4 linked regions of the Lonchura striata genome follow. The protein of the gene in region 4 purifies or fractionates together with the protein of the main gene of each other region. This does not show direct contact. Links are inferred from orthologs where the notes say so. Each region holds a gene or a part of one and is shown on either strand. Other genes may lie near its edges.

Region 1 (7,754 bases), about 16 Mb from region 4:
TCATGAAGAATTGTCCCAACGAGCATTTGGTGAGAACCTGACTCAGAGCCCTGCAACAAATGTCATCAGACATGAAGATTTATGCCCATTTCATGCCAACTTCTCTGCCAAATTTCTCTGCAATATTTGCTGCACATCAAGACCTACACTTATTTAACTATAAGATCATGACAGCTTTCACCTCACTAATGGTTATCTAGCCAAACCTGCCTGTGAGAGCAGCTGAACTGAAGTGGGTCTCCTATCCCAACCCTGACAATGTCGGGATGCAATCTCTATGTGATTGGCAGGTGAGAAACAAAGGCACAGATTAAAACAAAACTTTGAGAAAGTTTTGCCTGCAGGCGTTTCCTAATGCAAACACAATCTTTACAATCTTACACAGATTTCTTGCACGAAGCAGTTTCCTGTCTGTTACCAGCTCACAGCAAAATCATTCCATGTATCACCAACATGGCTCAGAAACCCATCAGAAGGGCTGGGCTCTGGAGACTCACAAAAACTGAAAGTCACTACCAAATAGCTGAAAACCTAAACACTGTGGTATTATGGATCTCTTACAGACCAGTGAACTTCACTCACAACAAGTGGATGGTGTTATCCCAGTCAGGACCCTGTGCATTGACTCAACAATCATTTTATCCCCCTTACTCCTCTAATAGAAGGTTGAAGACCATTTCATAGTCTTAATCTCCTGTACTTAATTTTCTTGTTCCAGTCACAGGTTCCCAGCCAGGCTGTTTACCACTCTATTAAAATTTCCTTATTCATTTGGATTTATATTCCTACCATGTCTGGAAGTTTTCATCAGCTGAAACTGGCAGCTGTTGCTTCCCTATTTATCAGCATATTTCACATGTATCAGCAAGGATACTACAAGACACTTTGCCTCTTTCCAAGATCAAGCAGCTGAATTCAGACTCCAGAGTCAGCCCACACCAATTAACTGAATTAACTAAATTTTTCAGAAGCTGTTAATTTGGCAAAGTGTGGTTATATTTTCTTATGGATGGCAACAGGCAAATCCCTCACAAAGGATTCATATCCACACAAAATGCAGCAAGAGATTATAAAAAAAATTATCAGAATTATAAGTGGAAAGCCCAGTTCTTTAGACCAGTAGCCGTTTTAAGAGTACTGCATTATTTCAGATGCAAGTCTCAAAAAAACAAGAGAAGTTCAACCAAAGACAGCTTCCACCCTAAATTATTCTATGTTGCAAACATTATGAATTGCTAATTAGGACATTTCTAACAGCCAGATTTAACACTGGGCTAGGCCACCGGTGTGAGTGGAACAGTAAATCACTGGCAGTGTGGAATCAGCACTCACCCTGAAGCGCTCACTCAGCACTGCCCTCCTCATGCAGCGGATACTGCTGGAGATGGTGGTGCCCGAGAGCAGCAGGTCTGGGTACAGGACCAGGTATCCACTCTGGGCACTGATGACCCAGGTGCCAGAGCTGCACTCCCCTTCCAAATGAACAATGTCCCCTGGAACCACCGGGACAGACTCCCTGCAAGGCAATACACCCATACAACCAATGTTTGCAAATAACAGACACAACGTATTTTCTTACACATTAACAGAGCAGATTCAACATTCTTTGAAATGCTGGGTTGGGTTCTTTTAAGAAGTTGACTTAAAGAAATCCTGAAAGTGAATAAAGGCATTTTTACAATGACAAAACTGCAAGGTAGCAATGCCTACTCAACATCAGGCCTCTCAAGATGATATCCATTATGCTAGCATACTGATAATATCACATTAAACAAAGGTTCTTTCAGGATCCCATATCACTTTTAAGGCCGTAAAACTCAACTCACAGACAACACAAACAAAATTTAGTTAATAATCCAATATTTCATTCTCTTTTCAAACATCTATGTATCTGTGTGGATTACCAGCCACTCCTAAGGATGCACAGTTCTGTATCTTCCAGTGAGGGGGAGGCTGTAATTGTCAAGTGTTTCTCAGGGTCACTTCCATTTCTCTGTATTACGCTGACCTCCAGCACTCGGTATCTGTTGTTCAGCCCATTCTTCAGGATCGTATGAGGTAGGTCAGACACTTTCTTCTGAAAACTGAAGGAACACCTAATTACAAAGAATACTGTACTCTTTGAAAATAGCCGACCTACATACAAAAAGAGAGATAGCTTCAACCATAAACCAAATTTTACTCCCCTTCAATTTTTATAAATATTTTGTTTGGGTTTTTTTTTTTTCAGTTCTGTACAGGTAAAGAGTAAGAAATCTCTATAAATATTAAGCAGTTTGCTATTTATTACATTTTTGGGTCCACATATCCATAAGCACTAGTAAACTAATTATAACTGTACTGCAAACACTGTGCTTGTGAGAAAGCTTTTATCTCCCTGCGCGCATGAATTCCCACAGCCACACAAACACCTCGAGCACGGAGCGGTACGTTTTACCCATGACCTTGAGTTGTTTAGAAAACTCATACTGAAGGTTAAGTTTCCAATAGCCAAACCATGAGACAGAGCGGCCAAACCAGCGCTCTCCTGTCCCGAGTGATGCCTGGGGAGCGATCGGGGCACAGCGAACGCCAGGGCCCCGCGGCGCCGTGCCCAGCGCGAACACCCGAGGCAGCGCGGCTCCCCCTCACCATCCATCCCGGCGGCTCCAACTCACCATCCATCCCGGCGGCTCCCGCCCACCATCCATCCCGGCGGCTCCCCCTCACCATCCATCCCGCCGGCTCCAACTCACCATCCATCCCGCCGGCTCCAACTCACCATCCATCCCGGCGGCTCCAACTCACCATCCATCCCGGCGGCTCCAACTCACCATCCATCCCGGCGGCTCCCGCTCACCATCCATCCCGGCGGCTCCCCCTCACCCGCTATCCCGGCAGCCCCGAGCGCTCCCCAGGCCGAGGAAGGCCTCAGACCCCATCCCGCCTTCCCGCGCCCGGAGCCGGGAGCGGTTTGCAAGTTCAAACCCCGCGCTCCCGGCCGTCTCCGCCCCGCTGTGGCTCCCCGCATTCTGCCACTACCGCTCGGCCATGGGCAGGTCCCGTGCGGCGCTCGGCTCGGTCCGGCCTGGCCCGGCTCGGTTCGGCTCGGTTCGGCTCGGCTCGGCCCGGCTCGGCCCGGCCCGCACTCAGCGCACCCAGCGCCCCCGCAGCGCCGCCGCGCGCTCCGCCAGCCCCGCCCGGCGCGCCCCGCGCGGCCAATGGGAGGCGGCGGAGGGGGCGGTTCCCACGCGCGCGAGCCGGAGGCGCGAAGCGGCGCTGAGGGCGCTGAGGGCGCTGAGGCGCACCCGGCCCCACTGCCGCCACTGGTGCGGTGGCACAGGGCCATATTAGACGTGCCTTCCGCTCCCAATTCACTTATGGGCCAATCTGAGCCCGAGAGTCCAGCCTTTCCCCTCAGAAAGGTGTGGTCTCTGGCTTTCTGAGGTGGCACTGACGTTTCGGATACACAGGTTTCACTCTGCTGCAGAAATGACAGCTTTGGCCCATGGCTAGACATCCCAACAGAAGAATCGAGTTCAAATTGACGAATTTTAAAAGGTGAGAACATTCTTAGGTTAGCCGTTTCAGTTTTATTTGGGATAGTCCTGAAATATATGCAGTAAATTACATTAATGCTGCTTCCCACTGCAACATTATTCTCTAACAGAAGCTTAATTATAACTTATTAGTTCCTTGTTGATAATATTAAATGCAGTCATGATGTGGCGTGATATTGAGATTATATAAATGTTTTGAACACTTGCTAAACCTTTGTACTGTAGTCTTGGATGCTGCCTATCTATCTCCCATACACCAGAAAATACATATTTCAACAGAACAGGTTTATGAAGTACAAAATATGCTTGAAATATCTTTTTTGAAGTTATCTGCCATGCAATCAGTCTGGGGAGTCTCTAGGGAGAAAGTTGGACACAAGTGTTCTGAAATCAGAGATTGTGAAAAATGTTTGCCGTTTAAAGATCCATCAGCATTCTCCACATATAACTGTAAATTCAGGAATCAATATTAAAATACTTTCATACACTGTTAAATTTTATTTTGAAAAACCTAATTCTGAAAATACAGCACAGTTCCATCAAGTAGGTATGTTTTTCACATTCAATACCAGACACAAGAATTTAGGAGATACTTTTTATGTTCTCTTCCTCTCAGGCATAAACATGCTGGGTTCTGCTTTATTCTGCCTTAAAACTGCTTAACTTATCATGACATGCCTCAAATACATCCCTGGTAGTAGAATTAAGATGTAAAACTCTTAACTTAATAGTCCCTAACAGTATACACATGAAAAACAAGTGGCTTATCTGCTCACATAGCAAAACAATGTAGAAAAAAGAAAGACACTTTAGTTTTCCTAATACAGTGGATTTATCTCTACTGCAAGAACTTTAAAATGTAAAAGTTCACTGTGATATTGGCTAGCTTTCCTTTATGTGAAACTAAAGATCAGATGAAAAAGCATATTTGTTGTCACTTAATTGAGAATTACAATGCTGTGCCTATTAGGGCAAACAGATCATTCCAGAAACATGTATCCCTCCTGGCTGCAACACACACAAATCACACAAAGATATTAGTTCAAAAATTTTAATAAAATATATCCTGATACATTTCGTTCTCTGTATTCATTGCTATACTGTAAATTTCAAATAAATACATACTTTAAAGAAACTGGGGGGAAAATTGAGCCACATAAGTTGGTACTGAACAAACAACTGAAAATCCAGTTTGTTAAATTTGTCAAAATTAAGCAAATCAGTCTTACCATCCACCACTTAATATAACCCTTGCCAATTCTTAGAAGACACTAAAATATGTACAATAAATAAATAACTTACATGAAGTAAATGTTTTATAGTTTCCTGAATCAAGTGAGTAAAATCAAGAGTACCAATGCAAATCATGTATAAAATAATTCCTTCCAGAAAAGGAATTACAGGAGGAGGCAAACATGCAATAATCTACTGCATACCATGACTTCAGGAACAGTACATACACATACCTACGGAGCCAATACAATCTTAATTTTCTTTTCTGTGTGAGGTTGCATGTGGTCTATATGCCTAAACAGCAACATGCAGTCTTCTTTGGCACCATGGTTTAAGGTAGTTTACACCAGCTAGTACTGGGAAGTACATAACATACTCAGCCTTGAACAAAGCAAACCAAGACATGCAGCTCCACAGAAAAGTTCTCTAAGATTAGGCCCTACCTGCCACAAGGACATCTTTTCTAGCACTCATCCCTGTAAAATCCCCCTGCTTTTATTTGTGTAGTACAGCATTTTCTTAGAATAGAATGTACCCCAAGGAACTGGTTTCCAAATTGCAAGATAGCTAATACTGCTAAATACATCTTGCTGGTTCTAGCTGAAATGGCTGAAGATACTTTCCTGGGCAGCAATCTGTTCTTGCATATGGAAAATTTGTACAGAGCAAGAATAAAAGGCTGCTTAAAGTGTGCTCTGCCAAGTTCAGCTTCTACAGACCTAGCAAGAATCTGAATGCCAAAATCATTGCATTATGTTCAAATCAGTTTATTCCATTTAATTTTTAAAGAACAACATGCCTAATTACTAGCTTCAAAAGCAGCATAATCAGCAGCATCTAACTCCTGGAATGGTGCTACAGCTAAATAATAACAGCTTGGAACCTGTATAAAACGTGGGTGTCACCTCCAAAACTGTGTCATTCCTAATATTCATCTAATGAAGCCTAAAAGATCAAGTACAAAAAAAAGTGTTTAGATCTAGCTAATGTTTATTTTAATGTGTCACCTGGTTTGGACTCCAGGAAACTAACCACATTTTGGCAAATAAAGATGTCAGACAACAGCAGGTCCACAGTAACAGAAAGCTTTTTTTTTTTAAACTTCAAGTCATTTATTCATCAATATCATTTGAGGATTGATAGTGTAGTTTTACAGAAAAGTCTTCTAAAAGAAAGAATCAGTTGAGGTGCAAGAATTGTTTCATAAGTTCGTAAGTGGTGAAAGCCACGGCCTGGGAAGGAATACAGCGAATGTAATTCAAGGATAGCCCACGGTACAGTCCTCTTCGTACTCCGTGTTGTTGATACACATATTTCAGTGTCTGCACCATGGTACTAGAAAAAGAAATCATTTGTGGATACACATCTTCAGTATCAAAATCATGTTCTTTAAATATAAGATACTTTTTACTTGGGTTTTAAGAGATCCATGCAGAAAAACCCATGGCATTCCACACAGCAAAGCCACGTATGACTAAAAAGCCACATCTGACTAAAAAGACAACCTGGACTTCTGCAACAAATTTGGGCCCAAGGACTGGGAATTGGAAAGAGGATGGTGCAGTCCCAGCTAAAATAGTGTTGGCCTGAAAACACCTGCCCTACAAGACATATTACAGTATTTTACACCAGAACAGCTCCACACACTGTCTTGCCTAACTGGCAGGAAAAGAGCAGAAAAGCATAAATTCCATTTACAATTAATAACCTGAGTATATAGTATTTTACCTTTTTAAAAGCAGAAATTGAACTGTATGTGCAAAGAGAACTTTCTTCACATACTTGTATTGAAACCAAGAAGATATGAAATAGAAAGCACTTGAAGTGCTTGGTATTTCCATGCTATTGAAGACAGTGCTCTTGGAGAGCATCTTCCATATGTTCCAAAGCTTTGACACTTCCTGCTTGCTTTATCCTCTCATCCTCTAAAGACAGGCCTGTGTCTCTCCTTCAGAGCACATCCCTCTATATGGTCACATCAAAATTGTTAAATGGGGAAGCCTCAGGTCTGTAAAAGCAGTCCTCACAAATGCGAAAAGTAAAAAGAACAATGAACACATTTTTCTTTTAAAATCATCAGGAGTGGAAAATAACACAACCAAAAAAAAAAAAAAAAAGCTAGTAAAGAAAACAGAACAGAACCTTCACACTTCACAGTTAAGCAATATCAAGGTTGTTTGTGAAAGGTCACTCAGGCTGCTCTCGGTAGGATCCAACCTTCCACACAGGAGGTTCACAGTGAACTGCATTGGATTCAGGCACACACAATTCCACAAGATGGAAACTAACCAAGAGAAAGCTGTCCAAGAATTGAAATTGATTGAGACAATTTGAAATTCAGAAAGTTTCTCAAGATGAGACCTGATTTAATACTATTAGGATTTTTAAGTTATTATGGTGCTTCCACTTCTAGTGGAGGAACCTCAACAATGTGTAGGGTGTGGGAGACTACTGTAAGTGCAAAAAAAAGCTCAAATAAAATTGTATTATGCAAAATGATCTCAAGGAACAGAATCTGCACCATTAAAATACACTCTGAAATTAGTAAATTTCAGTAGAAGCATTCAGTCTCTTTTTAAAGATCTTGCTGGTATTAAAGGTAGTACAAGTTGCCTTAAAATACAAAAAACTATTTTACTAGTAGAGATACAGGATTACTAACAAGGGTGCCATATTATTTCAGGTATTTTTTTAATCCCAGGTTGAAAATGGTAGCTTTTGTCTGCGGGGAAACATCTTTATTAAAAGAATGAAAAAATCAACAGCACAGTAGTTCAGGGGGTAGGGGTAGTTGTTTTCTTATGGTAGTTGCTTTCTTTTAAAGTTTAAAATTAAGAACTGAACTTAGCTCAGACATCCAAAAACTCAGTACAGATGAAAAGGAAATACTTACAGGCACTTTTCAGAGTCTGGGAGAACTGCTCCTAACTGCATTCGCCTCCGAGTTACATCCAGGGGATATCTACACAGAAGACATTGAAA
Region 2 (7,811 bases), on a different chromosome or scaffold from region 4:
GAAGAGAAAAAAAAGCAGAGAGACATTATAAGCATAGAAAGGAGAACTAGGGATATTCTTAGCCTCCTTCCCCAGCTGGTACTATGGCAACAGTTTGCCTTATAGAGACAGCAGGAAATGCTGTCATCTAACTATTCACATACATAAAATGAGCTAAATGATTTTTCTAAGAAACTAAAGAACTAAATGAGCTCCCAGAAAAATTCAAACTAGGTAAAACACCTTGAAAATGTATAAAACAGTGAAACTGTGCTTCAGCTGCTCAACAACAGCTCTGTAACTTGTATAATTGTACATTTATTATAAAAGACAGATATATTTATTATAAAAGACAGATAAAAGCACGTGTTGACTACCACCCCTGAGTGCAGAGGTGGTGGTACTCACTTGGGACATCTCCATCTGTGGCAGCAGTGCCCCAGGAGGACAGTGGTCTGTCAGGAAAGAGCTCCACCCCGTTCATGCGCTGCGCGATTTTCCGGGCTGAGATGGTGTCCTTGAAGTGCTCCCGCCAGGCCAGGGTGGAACACAGCAGGCACAGGGTCTTCCCTGTGCCTGTGGGGCTCTCCAAAATGCCATTTACCTTCTGTGTTGGAGAGAAATAAGAAAGGGATTTAAGGCTTCAGCAGGACAGGTCTTAGTGCAGCACTGCATGTCCTCTGCCAAGGAGCAAACACCAGCTGGCAGCCCCACCAAGGAACACCCACACAACAAGGTCTAATCAACTTGTAGGACCCTCTAATTAATTTAATGAGGTTCAATCAAACACCCAGAACCAGCCAACGGATTTATTTAGCATAGGAATTCAATTCTCCACTCTTAGAGCCATTCGAGTGTATCATGTTTCATTATAAAATACTGAATTAAATGAAAATATGAGAAGTTATTGAAAAACCAGCCCAGAAAGTGGCTCCCAGTTAACAGAGTGCTGGTTTCCTTTAGGATTAAGGTTGTATCCCATGGCAGTTTAGGCACAGAACTTTGTCAGCACTTGGAACACCTCGACCTACAGGATGTTATAATTTTTAAGTGTGTGACAATACTAAAAATTGGAAAAAAGCAGCAGCTGAGCTCAAGAGTGTGAAAGGAATTTCTATCATGAGCTCACAACACTTTGAGTTTGATGAGAGGAGGCACCAAGCAGATACCGTGATCCACAGCAGAGCCAGGTGGAAAGCCACAGTTCCCACAATAAGCTTGCTTGGTCCCTCAGAACAGGGACCATGAAGATGTGTCCAGGAAAAAAAAAAGATAACTACTGCGAAAAAACCATTTTATTATTTTGACATTCATTCATTAAAATTATCCTCTCGCACAGAAAATGGAAAATTATATAAATAGTCCAAATATTAACAAGATAAGACCAAATTCTTCCTATGAGGAAACACTGAGACAATTGGGATTGTTCAGCCTGGAGAACAGAAGGCTCCAAGGTGACCTAACGGGGGTCTTCCAGTTTCTGAAGGGGGCTACAAGAATTTACAAGGACCTGTAGTAACAGGACAAGGAAGAATGGAGTCCTACTGACAGAGAGTAGGTTTATATTGGAGAATAGGAAGAAATTCTTCACTGTAAGGGTGGAGAGAGCCTGACACAGGCTGTCCAGAGAAGCTGTGGCTTCTCCATCCCTGGAAGTGTCCGAGGCCAGGTTGGAGGGGGTTTGGAGCAGCCTGGGATGGTGGAAGGAGTCCCTGCCTATGGGAGGGGGTGGAACAAGGTGAGCTTTAATGTCCCTTCCAACCCAAACCATTCATGATTCTGTAATCTGTCAAGAACAGACTGCATGAATACAAGCAGTCTTTCTTCCTTTTCCCAGTTTAGGCAGGAACATCCCATCTATATTTCTACTGACTGCCACCTGCCAGCCATGATTTTCATTACCACAGAGTAAAATAAAAATACAAGTAAAAGGTCAGAGAAGATTTGGAAAGGAAGCATACAAAGCACGTAAAGAAAACTTGAATTATGACAACCTCTTCTTAGAGAAACCATTTAGTGCAGTTAGCAATGACACACAGTTGGACACTCGCTCACCTTTTGCAGGCATTCCAGCACCTTGGCCATGTAGGCTTCCTGGCATGGGTAGGGCTGGAAGGGGAAATCCACCGTGATCCCGTTCAGAGTGATCCTGGGCATGGCTCCTTCCCTGAGCTGCCTGCAAGGAAGGGCAGACCATGCTGACCCTGCTGTCCTGGTGATACCGTGCCATGATAAGGCTGGAAGAGACCTGGCAGTTCACCTCATTCAACCCCTGCTGTGGGCAGGGATGCCTTCCACTGCGCCAGGCTGCTCCAAGCCCCGTCCAACCTGGACACTCGGGATGGGGCAGCCACAGCTTCTCTGGGCGCCCTGTGCCAGGGCTGTCACCCTCCTCAGAGGGAAGAATTTCTTCCCAATACCGCACCTACCCCTGCCCTCAGCCGGGCTGCAGCCGCTCCCCTTGTCCTGGCACCCCGGGCCCGTGTAAAGCTTCGCTGCGGGCCGCTCCAGGCACGGCAGGGAGCGGCTCGGTCACACCGCTCCGGGCCGCTACAGCGACACGGGGACACAGCGACAGGGACACGGGGACACAGCGACAGGGACATGGGGACACTGTGACAGGGACATGGGGACACTGTGACAGGGACACGGGCACTCGGGACCGCCCGTTCCGGCCCGCGGTCCCACATCCCTGAGCTCCGGGGCTACCGTGTCCCCGTGTGCTCTATCGCTGTGACCCCGCGTTCCCGGGGTCCCAGACCCCTGAGCTCCGGGTTTCCCGGTGTCCCTCTGTCCCCGTGTCCCGGTGTCCTCGTGTCCCCCTGTCCCCCTGTCTCTCTGTCCCCGTCCCCTGTCCCGGTGTTCCCGTATCCCGGTGTCCCCGTATCCCGGTGTCCCCCCGTCCCCTGTCCCGGTGTCCCCCTGTCCCCTGTCCCGGTGTCCCCGAGTCCCGGTGTCCCCGAGTCCCGGTGTCCCCCTGTCCCCTGTCCCCGTATCCCGGTGTCCCCGTGTCCCCTGTCCCGTGTCCCGGTGTCCCGGTGACCCCGTGTCCCGGTGTCCCCCTGTCCCCTGTCCCGGTGTCCCCGAGTCCCGGTGTCCCCCTGTCCCCTGTCCCGGTGTCCCCGAGTCCCGGTGTCCCCCTGTCCCGGTGTCCCCGTATCCCGGTGTCCCCGTGTCCCCTGTCCCGTGTCCCGGTGTCCCGGTGTCCCCTGTCCCGGTGTCCCCCCGTCCTCTGTCCCGGTGTCGCGGCGCTCCCTCACCTCCCGCCGCGCCGTTCGGAATCCCCGCGCCGCTGTCACGTGTCCCCTCACGTGTCCCCTCACGCGTCCCGCGCGTCACTTCCTGCGCGCGCTCTCGCGGGAGCGGCGGCGTTGCCCCGGTAACGGCGGCGGCCATGGCGGGCCCGGCCCGGGAGCCCGGCGGAGCCCGGGCCTTGGTGTCGGGGAGCCAGCGGGGCCCGGGCGGGAGCGGCGCAGGCCCGCTGGGGGTTGAGCGCCGCCAGGTCTGCAGGAAGCCGGTTCCGCTCCCTGTGGTTCAGCCGGCCGGTTCCGCAGCCGCTTCCCCCGGGGGCGGAGGCCGAGCTTCGGCCGCGGAGGGGCGGAATATCGGCTGCTCGCTGGCGAAAAGCCGCGTTCCCGAAGCCTCCCAGCCCTGCGCCGGGGCCACCCGGGCCCGGCGTGTGTCCCCTTTTGGGCGGCTCGGGAGCGAGCGATGCTCGGTGCCCCCGGGCAGAGCCCGTGTGCCGGGCCCTGCTGCGCTTTGTACCGGCCTCCGCTCCCCGGGCTCCGCTCCCCGGGCTCCGCTTCCCCGGGCACGCAGCACAGGGCAGGACACGGCGGGGCTCTTTGTGGAACCCGCGGCGTTTGAGGTGGGAGGGATCTGTGCCTCTGTGCTGAGCTCCTGCCTTAGGAGCGGTAATGAATTCTGACGGGTCTCTTTTGTTAGGGGTGAATGTGCCGCTCCTTTGTTCCCGGCTTTTCTGCTCCCACCCTTCAGTCCCCTGCCAGTGCATCCAGGCACATCCAGGGTTTGTCGGCACATTCCAGGTGCTGAGGCCGTGTGGCTGTGGTGAACTGCTCTGGATTGATGGATTACCCAATTTTGTAAGAATCTGGTTTTAATAAATGTATAGGCATGGCTTACTTGTATCCCCAAATTTTGTAAAACTGTGTTTTATGCAGCTATATGAGAAAGAAGGCAGGAAGAAAATACTTGGTACTCATCTCTGTGGTTTATTGCCGTGTCTCATGCTGTCACTGCATAGATGTAGAACAGGATGTGGCTTCTTTTATTGTACCTTTTAAATGCTTTACTCCTGACCAGCTGCACAGCTTGTTTGTGTGTAGAAGGGTTCTGATGTTAAAAGGAGCAAACCTTAAACTATATAAGTTAAACATTGTGTGGTTTGTTCTGCTCCCAAACTCGTGGTACCTCCTGTGTCATGGTGTTGGGTCAGGGGAGCTCATGGGTGTTGCTGTTTTGGTGGCCAGCCTTTAAATTCCTTCAGCTGAACTTCCCTGGATCATAAGCTGTCTTGAATTGCAGGGAATGAGCTGGAAAATTGAGTTATTCCTGTGGAACTTTGTGTGCTCCACACAAAATTTAACAGCTGGTTTTGCTCATGTTTCTGACTGAACTCTTCACTGTGATACCAGTCACACATGATGAAGCTGCAAAAGAGATCATTTTGTCAAGATGGTGAAATGAGAATGTGGGATAACCTTAGGGGAGAAAAAATTATTTAAAACTCCTCAGAAATACATGGAATACTCTGTTATCGTTATTTCCTGTAAACACATCTTTCCCACGTGGAAGAACAATATCAGAAGTGTATCAAAGGAGAATATTTTGCCTTGTTGCAGTGCTGCTGGTAGAAGCAGTGTCGCCTGCTGAGAGAGGGGAGCTGGAGGTGAGCAGCCCGAGGCAGGAGTGGGCTGTGAGTCAGCAGGTGCCCGTGTCCAGCAGCAAACATGCATCAGCAGCTCCTGGAGGCTGCTCCTCTGCACCAGTGACCTCACCTGACCAGGGCTGCAGGCTGCCTCCAGCACTGCTGGCCTTCTGAAAACAGAACACAGGAAATGGTTGTAAGCTTACAGAGAAAAATGTATTCTTTGTTGTGGAGGTTTAGTGAAGCTGCAGCATCTGTTGGGATAAAGACATGATAAATAAAGGTGTTGGTCTCACACTGGATTGCCATCTTGGTGTTTGTCTGCCTAGATAGACCCTGAGTTCTTACAAAGTAGAGTTTTGGAGAGGAAGGAGAGATTTGAAAACTCTGTCCAAGCACCACAAAGAGTTGTGTGCCAGCCCAGCCTGTCCCTGCCAGCCCAGCCAGGAGGAACCACCCCATCTCCACTTCTCACTCATTCCTGGGTTTTAAGGTCTTGGATACACTATTTTTCATTTTCGAGAAAAAGAAACGAATGTACAAAATAAAAACCTTGTGAAAGATGGTCCTTTACCTCTGTGGGGAGAGGCTGAACCACACCAGAGACCCCAGCAAGGGGAACACTGATCATGTGCAGAAGTGCAAAGTGAATAATGGCCGTGTTTGTTCAGAGGCTGCCCAGGCAGGATCTCTTTCCAGATGAGATCCAGATGCTGCCAGAGGAGCAGGAATCTTCAAGAATGGGACAAAAGAGCAACGAGGGCCATCTGTGAAACTCCTGTGGTTGGCATGAAGGTTATTTACCTCTTTTCAGATCGAGGAGGATTGACTTGCCATTTGTTGTCTTTCTGAGTTTTTGTTTGCCCCTCAAATTATCTGATTTCTTTTAATCCTGATAGTCCAGAGCATTGCAGTCCATTTACTGTTGGGAAGTAACAACACAGCTTTCCACCTTGACCCTCCAAATCATTTGCTCCCCACTTCTCTCACAGTGTATTCCAGTGGGACACATAGCCATGGCACCTTTAAATCATTCCACACCCTTTCCTCAATAAAATTAATACAATGTGTGCTGGATTGATGCCAAAAGATCCAGAATGTTGCAAGAGGTAGTCAGACCCTCTTGGGACTGCTGGGAATATCAAAGCCAGAGTTCATCCTGAACAGAAGGGGGAAGTCACTCCACCAGCCAGGTGCCTGGGATGGCTGCCTTCGTCTGATCATGGCAAAGGTGTTTTTGAAACACACACAAGATAACCTGTCAAGTCCTGGAGATTCAATCCAAGGGGAAAGTAGAGAGAGTTGGAACTACAAAAAAAGGCTTGGACAAAACAGGGAGCAGTTAAAGGTCATTAAAAAAAGTCCCGTTGCAAACACATGGAAAACGTGTGGATAGTGTTAATTTTTTTATGAGTTAGACATTTTCTCTATTTTTCTTTTTTTTTTTTTTTTTTTTTCCCATGACAGTGTTAGGGCACTGACTGGGGAAAAAAATAGGAAAGTAGAAAAATCTCTAATCTTTCAGACTGAATTTAGTAGGCAGTGTCTGTGGCTTCTGCCCCTGAGCAAGCCAGAGCGCTGGCAGGTATTCCAACAACCTGTGGTTCTCTGCAGCAGCTGGAATTGTTTGGGAGTGTCTGCATTGCAGCGTGCCAGGAGATGTGTGGGTTTGGGAGGATTCCTTGCTCCCAAGTGTGTGTGTGTTGCTCTAAAAGCACAGAAGCATTGGCCCCTGGCAATAGCCACAAATGGAAATGATAGAAATTATAAAGAACAGACAGAAAATTATAAGAAAAGAGGTCCTGGTGCTTAGGGTGGAGGAGAAACCCAGAGAATTCTCACTGAAATTGAAAAGCTCAATTTTGCTCTTTCTCCTTTACTTTTACAGCAGTTTCCTCCCCAAACTGCAGCTCTTTTAGTGCCTCAGTGCTGGTGCAAAAAAAAAAAACAAAAAAAAACAAAACAAAAAAAAAACCAACTAATCCCATGCCTAAAAACCTGCTGGGATCCCTCCTCCCTTTGCTGTTTGCCTAAAGCTGCTGCAAGGTTTGGAGTTTGGGCTTCACACCTCAGCCCAGTCAAGCCAGACCCCCGACCTGGCCCTGCAGGTGAGGCTGCCTTGGAATGGCTGGTTTGAAAAAAAAAAAAAAAAAAAATCTTAATTCTGTTTTCAGCAAGGGAAAAAAACAGTTTAGCCCATCTCGAACAGACAAGAAAGGGAGGAAGAGGAGGAAAAAAATCCTCTTTTGCCCGCGCCCGGCTGGGTGTGTCTCGCCCCCCCCCGCCGTGGGGCTGTGTTCCTGGCAGGCAGGCTTGCCTGGGAGGGATCTGCCGTCAAAGCCTCCCAGGAAAGGAGGCCTGATACGCTCATTAATATTCTGAACTAGTGACCCTTCTTTTTCTTTCCACCCCTCGCCTTTCTCTGGGCGCTCCAGCCTCTCCCCGCCGCGGATGGCTGCAGCCCCCTCCAGCTGAGTCAGTCCTCCCTCCCCGCAGCATTGCAGCACCTCCGCAGCTCCTGCGCTCCCTCCTGCTCCTGCAGCACCGCTCCGCTCCCGCCGCAGCATGGCCAGCACCGTCTCAGGTAGGACAGGCGGCTTCTCGGGGGCTTGACATCAATGCGCTTCTAAAACCATCAAGTTTTATTCTATTTTTTTTTTTTTATCATTATTCTGAAGGTTTGGATTGGTTTTTGCTGCTTTTTTTTTTTTTTTTTTTTCCCCTCCGTGGGTTTCGGGGGAGTTCTGTGCTGAGGAGGCAGCTGGTATGGCAGCATTGTTCCCCTTCCTCCCCCATACACACACCCCTCTGATGCAAGATAGCAGGTGGGCTTTTTATTTTAATATGAATACACGTGTAATAAACTTGCCAATTTAAAGTATTGCTGACATTTCATTGTGCCATTAGAAGATGCTGCTACGTGCCAATTAAATCTTATTTTTGT
Region 3 (7,301 bases), on a different chromosome or scaffold from region 4:
AAATACAAATGTGTTTTTAATGCATATTAAATTGCTCCCTGCCAGATGGCAGACTCTTTACAAGGAGTTAATTTGCCTTGACCTGGAACTGATTAAGTGATAAAAAAGTAATTATGGGGCAGTTGTGAAATGAGCAGATTGGGGCTGATGGTGAAATTTGGAACACAGGAAAGACACAGAATGAAAAGGTCACTGCAGTCTGCTTTTCTTTGAATATTGATCTGAAGAAATGATCCAAACCCTGGGTTTGTACCCAGTCTGCCTCTTGTTGCCTTGGCATTACAGGCCTGCTGCAAACTCTGGACAAAAGGGAGTTATAAATATATTAATTTTGAAACAAAGCATTAACGCAGTGTACTTTAAAATCTTAGTTGAAGCAGAATTTTTAAAACACACCTGTGACACATTGGCACCCCTCTTTCCTTAACTCCCACAGGGTTATCCATGTGAACTTCTGGCACTGACAGTGGCTGGGATCCCATCCATGCACATCTGTCTGGATTTCATTCCTGAGCTCATTGCCCAGCCTGAACTGGAAAAACAGGTACTGAGCATTCCCCTGGCTGGGGAATCACTGGTTACTAACCCTGAGTAAATGCTGGCTGAGGGGGGAGAATAAATAGACACTAAAAACATCCTGTTCTAGCTTGCATGGGATATTCAGGGAATATTTGTAGCACTTCTACATTAAATTAAAGCCTGGCATTGAAGGCAACTGTAATTTGTTGGAATAAAGATTCCCTGTTTCTGTATCAAACCAACTTTGTAGTTGTTCTTATTTAATCCTTTCTGGTATTAAGTTACTGCTGATCAGCTAAGATTAAAACTAGAATGGATCAGACCTAAATATCTTCTGCAAGGCTTGTGTTGCACATTGTGTGTTGCTTTATTGCTCATCATTAATGTTGGAGCAAGAGTCTCGGGGAGATTTTGAAACACTTGGATGAATATTAAATATGTGTGGGTTATTTTTCTTCATACCAGCAGAAAAATAATCATAATAGCTCTTGTTAAGGCTTCAATTGGCTTCCTTCATGGTAAAGCAGGGAATATTAACTTACTGTTAAGTGTGGTGAAGAGCTTTGGATAGAAGTTGTAAACCATGCTGTAACTTCATTGCTTTTCTCTCCTTTGGCAGATCTTTGCCATCCAGTTGCTCTCCTACCTGTGTATCCAGTATGCCCTGCCCAAATCCCTCAGCGTGGCTCGTTTGGCCATCAATGTGATGGGGACCCTGCTCACAGGTACCACCCCAGGCACCCCAAAATCCACTGCTGGGGGAGCCAGGAGGGTTTCTCTAGGCTGAATGCAGTTTTGTCTGTCTAATTGCTATTGTAAAAGTAACAGTTTTTGATTGGATTTTATAATAATCAATTTTTACTTCTGCATTTCCTCCTCCTTGGCAGTTCTGACCCAGTCCAAGCGTTACACGTTTTTCATGCCCACCCTGCCCTGCCTGGTGTCCTTCTGCCAAGCCTTTCCCCCCCTCTATGAGGACATCATGTCCCTGCTGATCCAAATTGGACAAGTTTGTGCCTCTGATGTTGCTACACAGACTCGAGACTTCGACCCCATCATCACCCGTAAGTCAAGGACTTAGCACCCCAAAGGGGTCAGGCACAGGGAAATGAAACAGAAATGTTATGGCCTTGTGGTCATTTACTTAATTACTTACTTAATTTACTTAATTATTTACACAAATGTCGTGGTATTGTGATACTTTACTTGTAGGGAGTTTTGGAAGGAATTTGAGATGGGACTTTTGAATTTGTTTTGATGATGTGGTTCATTTTTTTAATATTTTATACAGGTAAGAAGGGTGAGTTCAGTTTATATCATTATAGTTTGATTTAGAAGGTCACAAGACCTTTCTTTTTAAGGAGTTATTGATTAATAAAATATTGTTAATAAGGATATTTACGTTTTTGACTCAATCTTTAAGTGTTTCGTCTTATGGACTTTAGCTAATTATGTTATGATACATAAACTTAACAGTACTGCATTTTAAACTTCTTGTTTGCTTCTGTAACTACTTTTATTTTTTCTATATTTTAAACTTTAAAACTTTGAACTTTTTTTTTACTTAGTTTAACGTGGTTTTGCTGTAAACTATAAATAAATATTCTTGCTACTAGTATTTAAGTTTGGAAGCTTTTTCTAAAGTTTCACATCAAATCTTGTGTTTAATACTAGACTTTAGCTTACAAGCCTGAAGTTCTAAGAGTATTTCAGATTCTGACATGGTGTTTCTGGAAATAACCTTGGTGGAGCATGGGATGGTGCTGCCTCAGCTTTGCAATCTCATATTTATGGCTGGAAATAACAATTCTCAGTATTTATTTTGCCTCTCCTGCTGCATTTTCTAGGTCTCCAGCAGCTGAAGGAGAAGCCACACGATTTCTCAGGGCTCTGTAAAGATTTCTCCAGCAAAAGCTGCTCCAGGGACACTGCAAGCCTGGACCCCGACGTTCAGCTGTGCCAGTGTGTGGAAAACACCATCATCGAAATCATTAACATGAGTGTCAGCGGAATTTAGGAAAAAAAAACTCCAGGAAAGTTGTCCTGTAGCTTTTCCCTCTCTTCATGGTGCCTAAATTTGGAAAAAGCTGTGAAAGTGGACTGAGGAGCTGGAGCAAAGTCCACATTTTTCATTCATTGAATCAGTCACAGCTGAGAAGAAAATCCCTTCAACAGGATTATGTGAGAACTTCTGAGGCTGAAGGGATCAGTAAATAATTTCAAAAAAAAAATTGTGATTTTCAGGCTTGCTCAGCTCCTGGAGTGGCACAGCAACACACCTGAAAGGGTTTTGTAACACTGCAAAGTGAATATTTATTTTGTGGGGCAAACAGCAAAATGATAAGTGAGAAAAATTGGATATTGAAGTTTGAGGTGAATGAGCTGCTGCTCCAGGGCCTTGCAGAGCAAGTTGGAATAAAGTGCTCCAAGCAATACTTGAAAAAGTGGTGTCAAAACTTGTACCATCATACTGAGTTTTCAGAAAATTAGAAGATTTATTTGTGTGTCAAACCATGGCTCAAAGCTTCAGTTCATGAAATCAGGAACTTCATTCAAAGATCAACCAGGCTTCACTGAGAGTTTGAAACTGGTCTAAAAGTTTCTTAAAAAAAAAAAAAGTGCTGATAGTAGAAATGAGCCATATAAATGGGATTTTAAAGAACACAGCTCAGATGGTTTTGTGGTTTTTAACTTTAAAAAAAGAGATGAAAAAGACTTGAGGAAATGAGTGCAGAGGTGTTTTGAGCTGTCATCAGGATAAGATTGGAAAGAGAAATGGATGCTGAGGGTGACTGTGCAGGCAGGGAGGGCAGGGACAGCTTTCAGCTGTGCCAAAGTAATTCCAAGGCCAAATCCTTTCTGCTCCATCATGGAGTTGGTTGTTCTTTTGTGTACAGGGCTGGGATTCCCCACATGGAAACGTGGGAAACCCCCGTGGGTTTGTGTTCCAGGGTTCCTGCTGTAACACCCCCGTCGCCATCTGCCTGCCGAGTGTATTTTTGTCATCTTTATGTAAATTATGTAAATAATCTAAATGTATGTATTTTTTTTTTCTCCTCAGTTCCAAGTGTAATTTTATATCCTGTAGTGGTATTTAAATTAAAAAAACCTCAAAAAACAACAACAGTATGACTGAAGTTCAAAGGGGGTGTTCTGTTTTGCTTTTAAATTTCCATGTTCATCCCAAATTTCACCTGAGGGAAACACTTGACAAGAACAGGAGCTGTGTGTGGCAGTAGTGAAAGGACACTTTCCAAACTATTAATTTTTCTGTGGCGTTTTCTGTGCATTCTGCTTAACACAAGGAGGATGATGATGATGATGATGATGATGATAATAAATTCAATTAATATAAAATATTATAAAAATAATAAATATAAAACAAAATAAAAGAATAAGAACTATATTAGCCGTAATGCTAATGATAAAGGCCAATAATAATAATAAATATTTGAGTATTTCTCAAAAAGCGCGGTTGCCTAGCAACGCGTGCCACCCGGAAGCCAACGACGCGCCCTGTGATTGGCTGTCGGCGCGCAGAGGCGAAGGCGGGAGCGCCCCAGTGTGCGCTGTGCCGATTGGCGGCGCGCGGCGCTTTCCTGTCAGCTGATTGGCTGGGGCGGAGGCGGGAAGGACGGAGGCACTGAGGGTCGCAGGTGCGGGGCCGTGAGGGGCGCGGGGGAAGCGGCTGCCGGCGCCTCCGCCTCGCCGAGCGCACAGAGGAAGCGAACGCCCAGGTGCTGCTCTGTGGGCTGGGCTGGGGCGGCCCCACCGCTTCCTAAACGCTCGGGCAGCGAAGCGGCTCTGCCCGGTTCGAGATGTCGCTGCGGGGAGTGCCTGGTGGCTCTGGTCACAGCACGAAGGGTCCCTGCGGTGTCCCGGGCCTCCCTCCTCCTCAGGGGCAAACTTCGTGGGGAGTTCTGCTCGTTTAAGCGAGCCTTCCTCTCAGGATGGGTTAGGGAAAAGCCTTGGAGTGAGGTGGCCTTTCCTTCTGGAAGGAGGGGTTGGATGTAAACTCATGTCAGCCGTCGTTTTTTGCTAGAATTGTTTTTCCTATAGGGTTGCTCGATGGTGAAGCTGAATCGTGCCATACATCTGATGTATATATTTAATTATTAAAAGTCAGATGAGTTAATTTATCCCAGAGAATCTGCCAGTTTAAAGTTGCTGTCTTACTTTGTCAATGTTGAAAAACTATGAGAAAAAAATCCTGCTATGTTGTTCAAAAATATTGTAACTTAAAGCCATTTATGCCTCTTTAGTATTTTTCGTTCAATAATTTCACCTTTTTAACACAGGGAAATTGTCAGTCTTTTATTATTCCAAGATATTCAAGGAAATAAACACAGAATAGTAAATTAAGCGATGCTCCTTTTCTCCTGATTAATTGCTGTATTATTTATGGAAGAAAGTTTTAAGCATCTAATTTTTAAAGTCATTGTCAAGATTTATTTTTCATTATTATAAAATGTGCAAGCTTCTGTATGTTTGTAGTTTATGACATCTTGCAGTTCAAGCTGATGGACCTCTAGAGTTAAAAAACTGGCTGGTTTTAGTTATTTCATATTCTAAAATGCTGTTCCTGCGTGGATTTGGGCTCTATTTCCAGTCTGACTAATGGAATCTGAACTGGTGTGTGCAGCTCATGGTGTTTTTTATTTATTTATTTGCTTGCTAGCATTGAGTTATTAATTCTGTATTTTTAATTGCAGTTTTAAACTTGAAGTAGAGGGGAGAAAAGCTGGCAATGCCTTCTGATGGGGCAGAATATACAATTGGGGGGGTGAAGATCCTCTTCCCCTGCAAGGCTTATCCCTCCCAGCTCGCCATGATGAACGCTGTGAGTAGAGTTTACACTGGCATTTGCCAGACTAAGAGCTTGTGTTTTCCAGTATTTGGAATTCCAGGATCTCTGTCAGCATTTAGAAAGCTGATGCATTAAATTCAGAGCTTGCAGTTGAGAATTTCAGTGGTAACCCCTCAGTGTTCTCTGTGCTGTGCAGTATCTGGGCCATGATTAGGGAATGGGGAGGTACATTTTGGATTTGGGAGCATTTATGCCAAGAAACAAGTTCCATGTGGTGGAAGTATGTGGTTGTTCATCTAGATATGCTGAAATTGCAGCTGTATGCAAATGTTCAAGATTTTAGAGGGGGGGAATACATTGTTTAAATAGAATAATTATGTATAGTAATATTCCAAGAAGTTTTCATTTTTTTGAGGAACTTTTCTAAATGGATTGTTGCATTTATAGTTAAACACTTTTAAAATGTTTTAACCGGGCACAGCTTTAAGATGTGCCAGGGAAAGTTTAGGCTGGACATTAGGGCGTTATTGCTAAGATTAGCTAACATCTGCTTTGTTTTCTGTTAATTCTGTTTCTTTTATGCTCCTTAAAGATTGTTAAAGGCTTGAATAGCAGGCAGCACTGTTTGCTGGAGAGCCCCACGGGAAGTGGCAAAAGCTTGGCATTACTTTGTTCTGCATTATCATGGCAGCAGGCTTTGTATGGTAAGTGTCTTAGTACCTGCACAACTTTTATTACAAAATATAAAAGAATTTTTTTTTTTCTTCAGCCTTTAAACATTTAGTTTCAGGTCTGGGTCCACCACCTTAATGGCAGCATAAAGCAGTAATGCTGAGCTGAGTTTAGATCCCATAAGGGAATGTGGCTGTTGGAACTTTGGAAGAAAATCCTTGTGGGTTGTGTGGATTGAATGGGAAGAGGGAGGTGTTTTCCTTTCTGTGCACTGCAGTTCTTCAGAGGGTGACCACAGCTTGTCCAGCTTGACTGGTACCTGAACTTCATCTTCACTGCTGTGCACCTCTGGCTCTCGTGTCGAGTCTGGAGCGTTTAATGACAGACAAACGACTTTGTCCCCCAGAGAAACCAGTGCCAACCTCATCGTGTGACAAGGAGGACAGGAAGGCAGAGCCGTCCCCACCGTGTCACTGCAAGTGTCACTCCCAGCCCAAGAGCAACGAGGCTTCAGCAAGTGGGACTCACAGTGCTCCTTGTTCTGCCAATTATCCTAATACAGGAACTTCCAGAAAACCTGGAAGCCCACTGACAAACACAGGTAACGTCATCTGTAGGCAGATCAAATTCTGCTGCTTTCAAGCCAGGGATGTTTTTTTACCATCATAATACAGCCATGCTTCTGCCCTATATGAAATCTGTACAGTGGTTAATGTGTCTAGAAATGTCTAACACTGTTTCCTACACCATATACATTTATAGTATTTCTAGCAGTCACTATTCTTTAGAAATTGTATTTTAAAATGTTGCACTTATTTAATGCATCCCTAGTAGTGGATATCCATTTTATTTTATTAATTACAGAATGTAAGGAAAATGAAACACTAGCTTCAAAGCTGTCTGCCAAAAAAAAGTTATCTCTTCATGCCAGTGAGAACGATGATTTTCAAGCAGACAGAAAAAGGATTCGTCCTTTGGAAACAGAGCAGCAGGTGAGCAGAGTCTGTGGGCAGTGAAATAATCCGGGTGTAGCTCAACCAAACTCTCAAATCCAATTAATGGTACAGAGGAGGGTGTGGGAAATAAGTGAATCATATCACAGTCACAGCTTAGAGTGACAGGGTTTTGTTCATTTTTATTGTTACTTCTTACAAAAGAGTCCATTGTTGCAATACATTGTTCATTATACCCTGTCCTAAAATCTTTCACATTTAGACAAGTAATATCCCCAAAATATATTTATTCCCAGTTAATGGTGTTATAATCTTGTAAGTTTTGTAACAGTGAGAAAGCAAAGCAGAAA
Region 4 (7,669 bases):
GAACAAGCAGCCCAGACACTAGTGATCACTCAGCTTCCCACCTTGGCTCCAGCACCTCCACACTGTGCAAAACTGCGCTAACCTCTTCCAAGATGGGCAGGGAGAAAGGCAGTTTTGTGGTCAGAGGAAGATAAAATGCTGGGATTCCTGGTGTCTATTTCCAACTCTGACTCAGATTCCTTGCCAGGTTGCCTCATTCACCTACTACCTCCATATTCTTGCAACTCAACTGGGGGAAGAGTCACTCCTCAGGAGGCTTTGCTAAGGACTTGCTGCACTGTACAAGAACCTTGGCAGAACGGCAGGTTCTCCACTCCTGCCACCCATTGCCACTGTGGCACCTCCCCAGAAGGAAAGCTCTGTGTACATCCTCTGCTCAGACATAGGGTGGCAGGCAAGGAACTGCCTTACTTTCAGACCCCTAACCTGCAGCTCAGGTGTCAAGTGACATTGCTGGAAAACAAGCAGCACCCCTCACTTTCTGCCTGGACAAAACAGCATTCCTCCAGAAAAAAACCCAAATCACCTGGCAGTCACTAAGACTCACTGTCTTTGCCCAGGGATACTTTTGGGCACTCTGGAGGGACCTGCTCACCTCTCTGCCCTGCTGAACCTGCACAACTGACAGGGAACTTACCCTCTCAGAAGGTTTCATTATGGGCTTTCCCAGGCCTTGTTCCTGCTAGTGTCTCCTGCTGTTGCAAGCCTTTACTGTCTCTTCCTAAGCAGTTAATTCCACCATTAAGACACACTGTTCATCATAGGGCTGTCTCTAGGGACAAGATGACAGCGTTTTCTGACAGTGTGTTCTGACAGCAGGCAGTCTTGACTCCAGAGACAGAGCTTTCAATTCTGCCTGGAGCAGCAGGGAAAAGGAGCCTGAGCTGAGAAACAGAACAGATAAGGGGAGCTGTGTGGATAAAGAACCCAGCAGGTCTCAGAATTGACGGGCACAGACTGAAAAGGGGGCACCCTCAGAGACAGCCATGACATGCTGGCAAAATTTCCTGCAGAAAAACAACAGTGAAACAGCAAGGAAATGCTTTGCACAAGCCAAAGCAGAGTGGGCTGCAGAGAGAGCTTAGATGGCTCCTCCACATCCAGCATCCCAACATCTTGCTCTGCAAGCTCATGAAGAGCCCTTGTGCCTCTGCACCATCAGAGAAAAAATCTGACACAAATGCCATCTCTGTGGCCAGGTGCTCTGCCTCTCTGTGTCTGCAGAGACTGAAAGCAGCTCTACACAAAGCTTCTGGCTCCCTACTCAACAGAAAGAGCTACCGTGTGATGGCCAAACCACAGTCAGGTACTGATACACCCCGAGGTCAGCAGCTCCTTTGCTCAGCAAGGGAGCTCCCTCTGTTCTCAGGGACCAGGTGTGACCAGCTTTGCCTCACATGGTGTGGCCACCCCTCCCTGACACAGCCTGTGAGTGTGCTGTGCTCGTGCACAGGCCACAGCGTGAGCACAGCTAATTGGACCTGCCTCATCAGCACGGCAGGCACAGTGGTGAGCCCCTGAAACTGCTACCTCCACATCTGGCAGCAGCACATATGCCCCAAGGTTAATTAGGCACCCTGAATCCCTTTACCAAGAGGGGCTGACTTGCTATTCTGGCATTCCTGTAGCTCCCAGAGACTTAACAGAAACAAGCCATTCACCCTGTGCTGGATTGCTACTCTGAACCAACCTGCTCTCTCTCCTGAAAGGTCTCTCCCCCTTTCAGTGTCCTTCTAGGTATTAGTTGCTTCTGGAGGACTTCCATTCTTGTTTCTCCCATACCTTCAAAATGTAAGCACAACATTCACAGGGAATGTGTAATGGATTCTGTAGCAGCAGTATCCTTCTCTCCCCATTTTTTAAGAAAGATGAAATCAGCCTCTTCCTGCCAGCCAGTGACCCATGCAGCCCAACCTGCATGTGACAGCACCAAGGCTTTTCTGCCACTTGCCAAGTTACGCTCATTTTAGTCCTTAGCAACAAACCGGTGAAGCTCAATGTGTTTGTTACAGCAATTGCACAATGGCCATGAGCTTAGGAAAGACCTCCCTATCCTTTTGCTCAAGGATACACAAAGCAATTTAATCCTTTCTGATGTGTGGTTCTGTACAAGGTCAGAAGGGCTCAAGGACACTTGCCAGCCCCACTGTTTGTGAAGGTGGCTTTGTCAAAAGAGCCACATGGCTGAAAAAAGCTGGGAGAAGCAAGTGGGGAGGAATTCTCTTTGTATGTCTTCCAAGAGACAAAGCTTTCTCCAGGCACTTCTGTAACATGACATCAGGTGATAACAACAGTTGTAAGGTTATCCTTCCCCACGTATATCCCAAATATGTTGGAGACTGTGTAACTCTTCTGCAACATGTTGAATATCATGTAGTTTAATGAATTTCTACAAATTTCCTTGGCAATTTCTTCACTCTGTGTTACATGGGCCACTGGGTTACCTTTCTGTTTTGCCAGCTCATCTCATCACCAAGACACCACATAGCAGTTCACAAACCACCATGCCTTGGGAAAGACCTAGAAGCCACCCGTGTGTGTAATGTAACATACACAGACAGCCCTTCTCGGCTCTCAGAGCTCCTTCCCAAAACATGCTGAAGCCACTGCCTACACACACAAAAATATCACCTTATCCTTAGAAAGTCACAGTCCTGAAGCTGTAACTTCCCTAATGCAACAAAGTCACCCAACTGCTGTTCGAAGGAGGAGGATAAATTATCCGACCAAAGCAAACGCCTCAAGTCCTGCTAGGAAAGGGGGAGAAACCACAGTGAGGGTAGTCTGCAACTGCCACCTCCTACGGTCCCTCAGCAAGGCCATGAGCTATCGTCCCACAGTCATTTCTCTGCCAGCCACACCTGCCTCGCTCCTGGAGCCCCTCACCCACCGCACACCTCCTTGGCAGCTCCGAGCTGCAGGCCCTGCCCTACCCAATCCCACGTGCCCTGCCCCGCACGGCAGCCTCACAACCCGCAGACACGCTCCGTCCCGCGTCCCCACACCCTGCCCGGCCAGCCCAGCCCCACGCTCCCTCACAAACCCCTCCCCACACCGCCACGACCCGCCCGTGCCCACGCCCGCCCCAGGCCCTGCCCGGCTCCGCTGCCGTGCCCACGCCCAGTCCCGCCCCGCCCCCGCGCGGTACCTGCCGCCACCTCCGCGGCACGGCCGTCCTGCTGCCCGGACACGAAGTCCCGGACGGAGGCGGCGAGAGCCTGAGCCTCCGCCCCGGCCCCGGGCCCGGGCCCGGCCGCCGCCATGACACCCGCGCGCAGGGCCGCGCCCCGCCCCCCGCCTGCGCGTGCGCGGGGGCGGTGCCGGCGGTCACGTGCGCCCGGGGGCGGGGCGGCCCCGCGCGCACAGCGGGCCCCGCGCGCACGGGCGGGCGCAGCGCGGAGCCGGCGCGGCCCCGATGCCGAGCGCCGCCGGTCGGCCCCGCCATGGGCGGCTGCGTGGGGCGGCAGCGCCGGGAGCGGCCCGCCGCCGGCGGCAACACCCGCAAGCGAGCAGGTGAGCGGGGGTCCTGCGGGCTGGGCGCCCCCGCGATCGCGGGCACTGGGGCGGAGGGGGGTCCGGTGTCCCCCTGGGGGTGGTGCCGGGGGAACGTGGGCACCGGAGAGGTGCAGCTCGCCACGGGACAACTTCTCCCTCGCACAACCCCGGGAGCCGCTCTGTGCCCTCGGGGTTTCGGACCCCGGGGATCCCGGTTCGGTGCGGGGCCTCGGGAGCGGACGGGAACCGCGGCTCCCGTCCCGGCGCCCCGGAGGCTTTGCGGGGTCAGGGCTGGGGTGCGCAGCGGGTCCAGCCGAGCCCTGCCTGTTCCCGGCTCCTCCCGGGAAGTGCCGTCCTGGGAGGACGGCAGGGTGGCGGCTGCCCCGGTCTGGGCTCGGCAGCGTCCCCCGCGCGGCGCGGCGGGTCCTGCCTGCCCGCGGTCCGTGCTGTCCCGTTCTCCCGGCTGCTGCCGGCGGGGGCTTCGGGAGCCGCGGGTGGGGCGGGGAGCGGCCGCGCCGGTCTGGGAGCGCCGGCGGGGCCGGTGCAGCCTCGCGGCCCCCGGAGTTACCGAACACCCGGGTGCCGTGAGGCGCTTCCCCGTGATGCCGTGCCGGAGGGTCCCGGAGGCCGCGGGGATGGGTACGGTGGACTTTCGGCGGAGAAGCCGTGGGCTGGTAGGATGAATCACGCCTTTCCTTTGCCGCCTCCCCGGCCGGTGCCGTCGCAGCCGGTAATTACCGTGTTTATGGCAGAGCGGTAGTGGGCGGCGGAGAGGAGGGGCAGGAAGCGTGTGCCCGGGACGGGACGCCCCGGCCCTCGCCTGCAGCTGGCATGCGGGAGGGAAGGGCGTTTTCCGTGGGACGCTGCCCGCCACTCCGGCAGCACGTGCAGGGTGCCGAGGCTGCTGGGCCGGGCTGTGCCCGTGCCGTGGGCAGCCGCCCCCGCCGCGTGGGGCTCCAGGTGTGCCAGCCTGCCCCGGGGATGCCCTGCTGGGATGTACTGGGGTGATGGCCCCCCCCACCCCGACACGCTTTGTCCCCCAGCAGTGCCTTCTTGCGGGTATGGGTGAGGCCTGGGGCTCCTGGCTGGCTGTTCCCTCAGCTTGGTGGAATGTGGGGCCATTGCCTTGTAGCATCAGGATGTGATGGGGGATGGGGTGAGATCCCAACATCTGGATCTGTGTGATCCCCTCTCGTGCCAGGCAACAGCTGGCTGCAGAGCCTGTGACTCCATCCCCACTTGCTCTCCTGGGATGGGTCGTGGTCCCTCCCTGATATACCGCTGTCAGTCACTGCTGCTGCTTTCTTCCAGTATGTCCCTTCCTGGCAGAGCAAGGCTGTCCCTTGTGCCAGGTGCCCTGGCTGCTTCCTACCTTTGTTTGCATGGTTCCACCAGCCCATGGGAGCTGCTCAGCAAGTGGTGGGGGTGAAGCAAGGCTACAGCTGCTCTTACCAGCAGTATGGGGACAGTGCCCTGGGCCAGCAGGTCCCAGTACACAAGGACCTACCATCAGCAGGGATGGGGGCTCTGCCTGCCCACCTCTGCTGCCTCAAGGACTCTGCTAAGCATCCCACCTCCCTGGCCAGCTCCTGCTCTGGCTGGGGCTTGTTGTGACCCCCTGTGGAGGGGTCCTTTGATGACTCCCAGAAGCAGGTGACAGCATTGTCCCCAGGGTGGCCAGCTTACCACAGCAGGAGCTGGGCATGCCCGTGGCACGCAGCATCCCAACCCTGCCTGACTCGGGAGTGGACCAGCCAGCACTGCTGGAAGCAGTGGTGTGTGCCTTCTGGCTGACATCTTCTCTGGGGCCTCCAGGACCTGTCATCTGAGGCTGCCTAAGGCTCCTGCAGGCAGGGAGCAGGCCCAGGGCAGGGAAGCCTTTGGGTCACATCCTTCTGCCCGGGGGTCCCTCACGAGGGCACTGCAGGGTGCTGAGCCACGGGCAGGGAGCTGCAGGCACAGGGCAGGAGGCAGCAGGCTGCCAGCCAGATCCTGTTGGCTCGAGTCCGGGCACAGAGAGCGGATGGACCTGTCTGGTGGTGCTGCTGTGGAGAGTTGCACAAGGGGCTAGGAATAGAGCAGCAGGAGGTGATTAGAAGGTGCAGGCCCAGCTGGGCGGTAGCAATAAATAGACTAGGCTTAAGCCCCTGCCTACCTGGGCAAGGCTGCTGGTTATGTCTGTACACACGAGGCAGCCACAGCCGGTCCCTGCCACAGCCGACCCCCACAGCTCCTTTCCTGGGCCAGCCTTTGTTGCAAGCAGAGCTGGGGGAATGGTGCTGACTGGCAGTGCTGGCCAGGAGTCCTGGCTGTGGGAACGTGTGCCCCAGCCTGGTGGCCATAGCAGTGTAGGGACATGATCCCAGACATGTCCTTCAGGCTGGCTGTGGACACTTCTCCGCTGCCCTCCTGGGGCAGGTGTTGCCTCTGACCTTGCCATGTCCTGTGGTGCTGCAAATCCCTCTGGCCCAGCACCGTGACTGCTGAATCGGCAGCACTGGCTGCAGTCGGCTGCCCTTGCTCCTCCAGGGTGTGGGCAGGATGGATGCTGCCTGCCAGGGATTCTTGGTGCCCAGCCCTGGGGTAGCTGAGCACCTGTGCCCCTTGGGCACACCCTGAGGTGGGTGCTTGCTGGGAAGCAGATGCTGTGCTGGCTCTAGTGGTCCTGGGTCGGGTGAGGCAGGGTCGGTACAATCAAAAAGGTCACGTAGCGCTCTGTGTCACCGCACACTTGCTCAGGAGCAGCTGCCTGGGCACCTTGGCTCAGCCCACAGCTGGCAGTGGTGGCTGTCTCCGGTGCCTGGGGTGTGTGGCATCACCTTGTCTGGCAGGTCGCTGTGTGGGCACAGGCATCTTTGTGCCCAGCTGGAGCCTCACTTTCCCCTCATCCTGTCCCCACAGGAGGGGTGCTGCCGGGCCAGCTCAGGGAGGGGGGTGACAGGAAGGAGCTGTTATCATTCATTGTCCCCAGCTCAGCTGGGAGTGACAACTCCTTCCTGCCCCACGTGTCCGGCCTGGCTGTGGGACTGATGAGATGGGGCTGTTCCCACAGGGCCACAGCCCAGCGTAGTGAGGGCATGATGCTCTGGGACTGGCACTGGGGTGCCTCAAGCCCCTGGGCAATGCTGGCTGCTGAAGGTCTGTGGGGATGTGGCTAGGAGCTGTTTCATGGAGAGCCAGTTCAGTTCAGCTCGTTGCTGGGGCACCTGCAGTCTGTCAGTGATGCCCTCTGTTCCCCTGATGCCTGGGATGCTGTCTTGCCTGCAGCTGGTCCCTGTCATCCCAGGGTGGGCAGAGGGGACAGTGAAGTCCTGACCCCCCTTTGCTGCAGCTCAGCCTTTGTAATCCCCTTCTCGCTCCGACTCACCAGCTTATTTCCTGGCTAATTCCCCAAGCTATAAATACTGCTCTGCCTCAAAGGGCCCTGAGGCCCTGTGGCCACCCTAGGGGGCAGTGGCTGGTCCCACAAATAAGGAAGCAAGAGCCCTTGTCCCCTCTGGGGGCAAAGGGTGTCACTTGGGGGAACAACTGCTGTGGGGCCAGTGGGATCTTGGGCCAGGCTTGCTTTAGCCCCGTTACCCCTGGCTACACTGGGGGCTGTTGTTCACTGGACAGGGTGATCCCTCAGACCCTTGCTGGGGTGCGGGAGATTCCCAGGAAGAACCTGTGGTTATGGGGAGGTGGGAGGTTCAGGACCTGAGGGAAAACCCTGTCCTTTGGCTGAATATCCCCCCTCTGCAGGGCGCAATGAGCCCCTGAAGAAGGAGTGTCCCAAGTGGAAGAGTGACTACCCCATGACAGACGGGCAGCTGCGCAGCAAGCGGGACGAGTTCTGGGACACGGCACCAGCCTTTGAAGGCCGCAAGGAGATCTGGGATGCCCTGAAGGCAGCTGCCTATGCTGTAGAAGCCAATGACCACAGCCTGGCCCAGGCCATCCTCGATGGAGCCAGCATCACCCTGCCCCATGGTGAGGGTCAGCACTGGGGGTTTGCATGGGATGTGTGCTGAGTGCCCCGTATCTGGGCACATGGGGGTCTCAGGCTGGAGTAGAAAGGGGCTCCCACCTGCTATCCAGAGCTCAGTCCAGCCAGGGGGAGTAAGGCAGGCTGTGCCATACTGCTTGAGGTGGCCCTGTCCCCATTTGAGTGGTCCATGGGGATGCCCACCCTTAG

The links.
Region 1: the proteins of MMS19 (region 4) and DNA2 purify together in Homo sapiens (affinity purification with mass spectrometry; 3 studies listed by BioGRID and IntAct, counting the BioPlex papers as one, with this or other methods). This does not show direct contact. The link is inferred for Lonchura striata from reciprocal best matches to the Homo sapiens genes MMS19 and DNA2.
Region 2: the proteins of MMS19 (region 4) and RTEL1 purify together in Homo sapiens (affinity purification with western blotting; 4 studies listed by BioGRID and IntAct, with this or other methods). This does not show direct contact. The link is inferred for Lonchura striata from reciprocal best matches to the Homo sapiens genes MMS19 and RTEL1.
Region 3: the proteins of MMS19 (region 4) and BRIP1 purify together in Homo sapiens (affinity purification with western blotting; 3 studies listed by BioGRID and IntAct, with this or other methods). This does not show direct contact. The link is inferred for Lonchura striata from reciprocal best matches to the Homo sapiens genes MMS19 and BRIP1.

Annotation. Positions count from the first base shown.
Region 1 is NC_134609.1:35,120,263-35,128,016, reverse strand, and holds the start of DNA2 (DNA replication ATP-dependent helicase/nuclease DNA2), read right to left. Parts: upstream 3,107-7,754; 5' UTR 3,033-3,106; coding exon 3,022-3,032; intron 2,085-3,021; coding exon 1,905-2,084; intron 1,517-1,904; coding exon 1,333-1,516; intron 51-1,332; coding exon 1-50. Other genes in the region: SLC25A16 (solute carrier family 25 member 16), read right to left, coding at 5,951-6,107, 7,666-7,734. UniProt on the Homo sapiens protein: Key enzyme involved in DNA replication and DNA repair in nucleus and mitochondrion.
Region 2 is NC_134619.1:7,175,964-7,183,774, forward strand, and holds the start of RTEL1 (regulator of telomere elongation helicase 1), read right to left. Parts: upstream 3,287-7,811; 5' UTR 3,240-3,286; intron 2,156-3,239; 5' UTR 2,137-2,155; coding exon 2,035-2,136; intron 587-2,034; coding exon 388-586; intron 1-387. Other genes in the region: STMN3 (stathmin-3), read left to right, coding at 7,433-7,451. UniProt on the Homo sapiens protein: A probable ATP-dependent DNA helicase implicated in telomere-length regulation, DNA repair and the maintenance of genomic stability. Acts as an anti-recombinase to counteract toxic recombination and limit crossover during meiosis.
Region 3 is NC_134622.1:9,361,699-9,368,999, forward strand, and holds the start of BRIP1 (Fanconi anemia group J protein), read left to right. Parts: upstream 1-4,130; 5' UTR 4,131-4,256; intron 4,257-5,231; 5' UTR 5,232-5,266; coding exon 5,267-5,359; intron 5,360-5,918; coding exon 5,919-6,030; intron 6,031-6,404; coding exon 6,405-6,599; intron 6,600-6,862; coding exon 6,863-6,990; intron 6,991-7,301. Other genes in the region: INTS2 (integrator complex subunit 2), read left to right, coding at 437-544, 1,139-1,244, 1,407-1,583, 2,367-2,536. UniProt on the Homo sapiens protein: DNA-dependent ATPase and 5'-3' DNA helicase required for the maintenance of chromosomal stability. Acts late in the Fanconi anemia pathway, after FANCD2 ubiquitination.
Region 4 is NC_134609.1:18,895,220-18,902,888, reverse strand, and holds the start of MMS19 (MMS19 nucleotide excision repair protein homolog), read right to left. Parts: upstream 3,285-7,669; 5' UTR 3,264-3,284; coding exon 3,149-3,263; intron 1-3,148. Other genes in the region: UBTD1 (ubiquitin domain-containing protein 1), read left to right, coding at 3,444-3,513, 7,237-7,464. UniProt on the Homo sapiens protein: Key component of the cytosolic iron-sulfur protein assembly (CIA) complex, a multiprotein complex that mediates the incorporation of iron-sulfur cluster into apoproteins specifically involved in DNA metabolism and genomic integrity.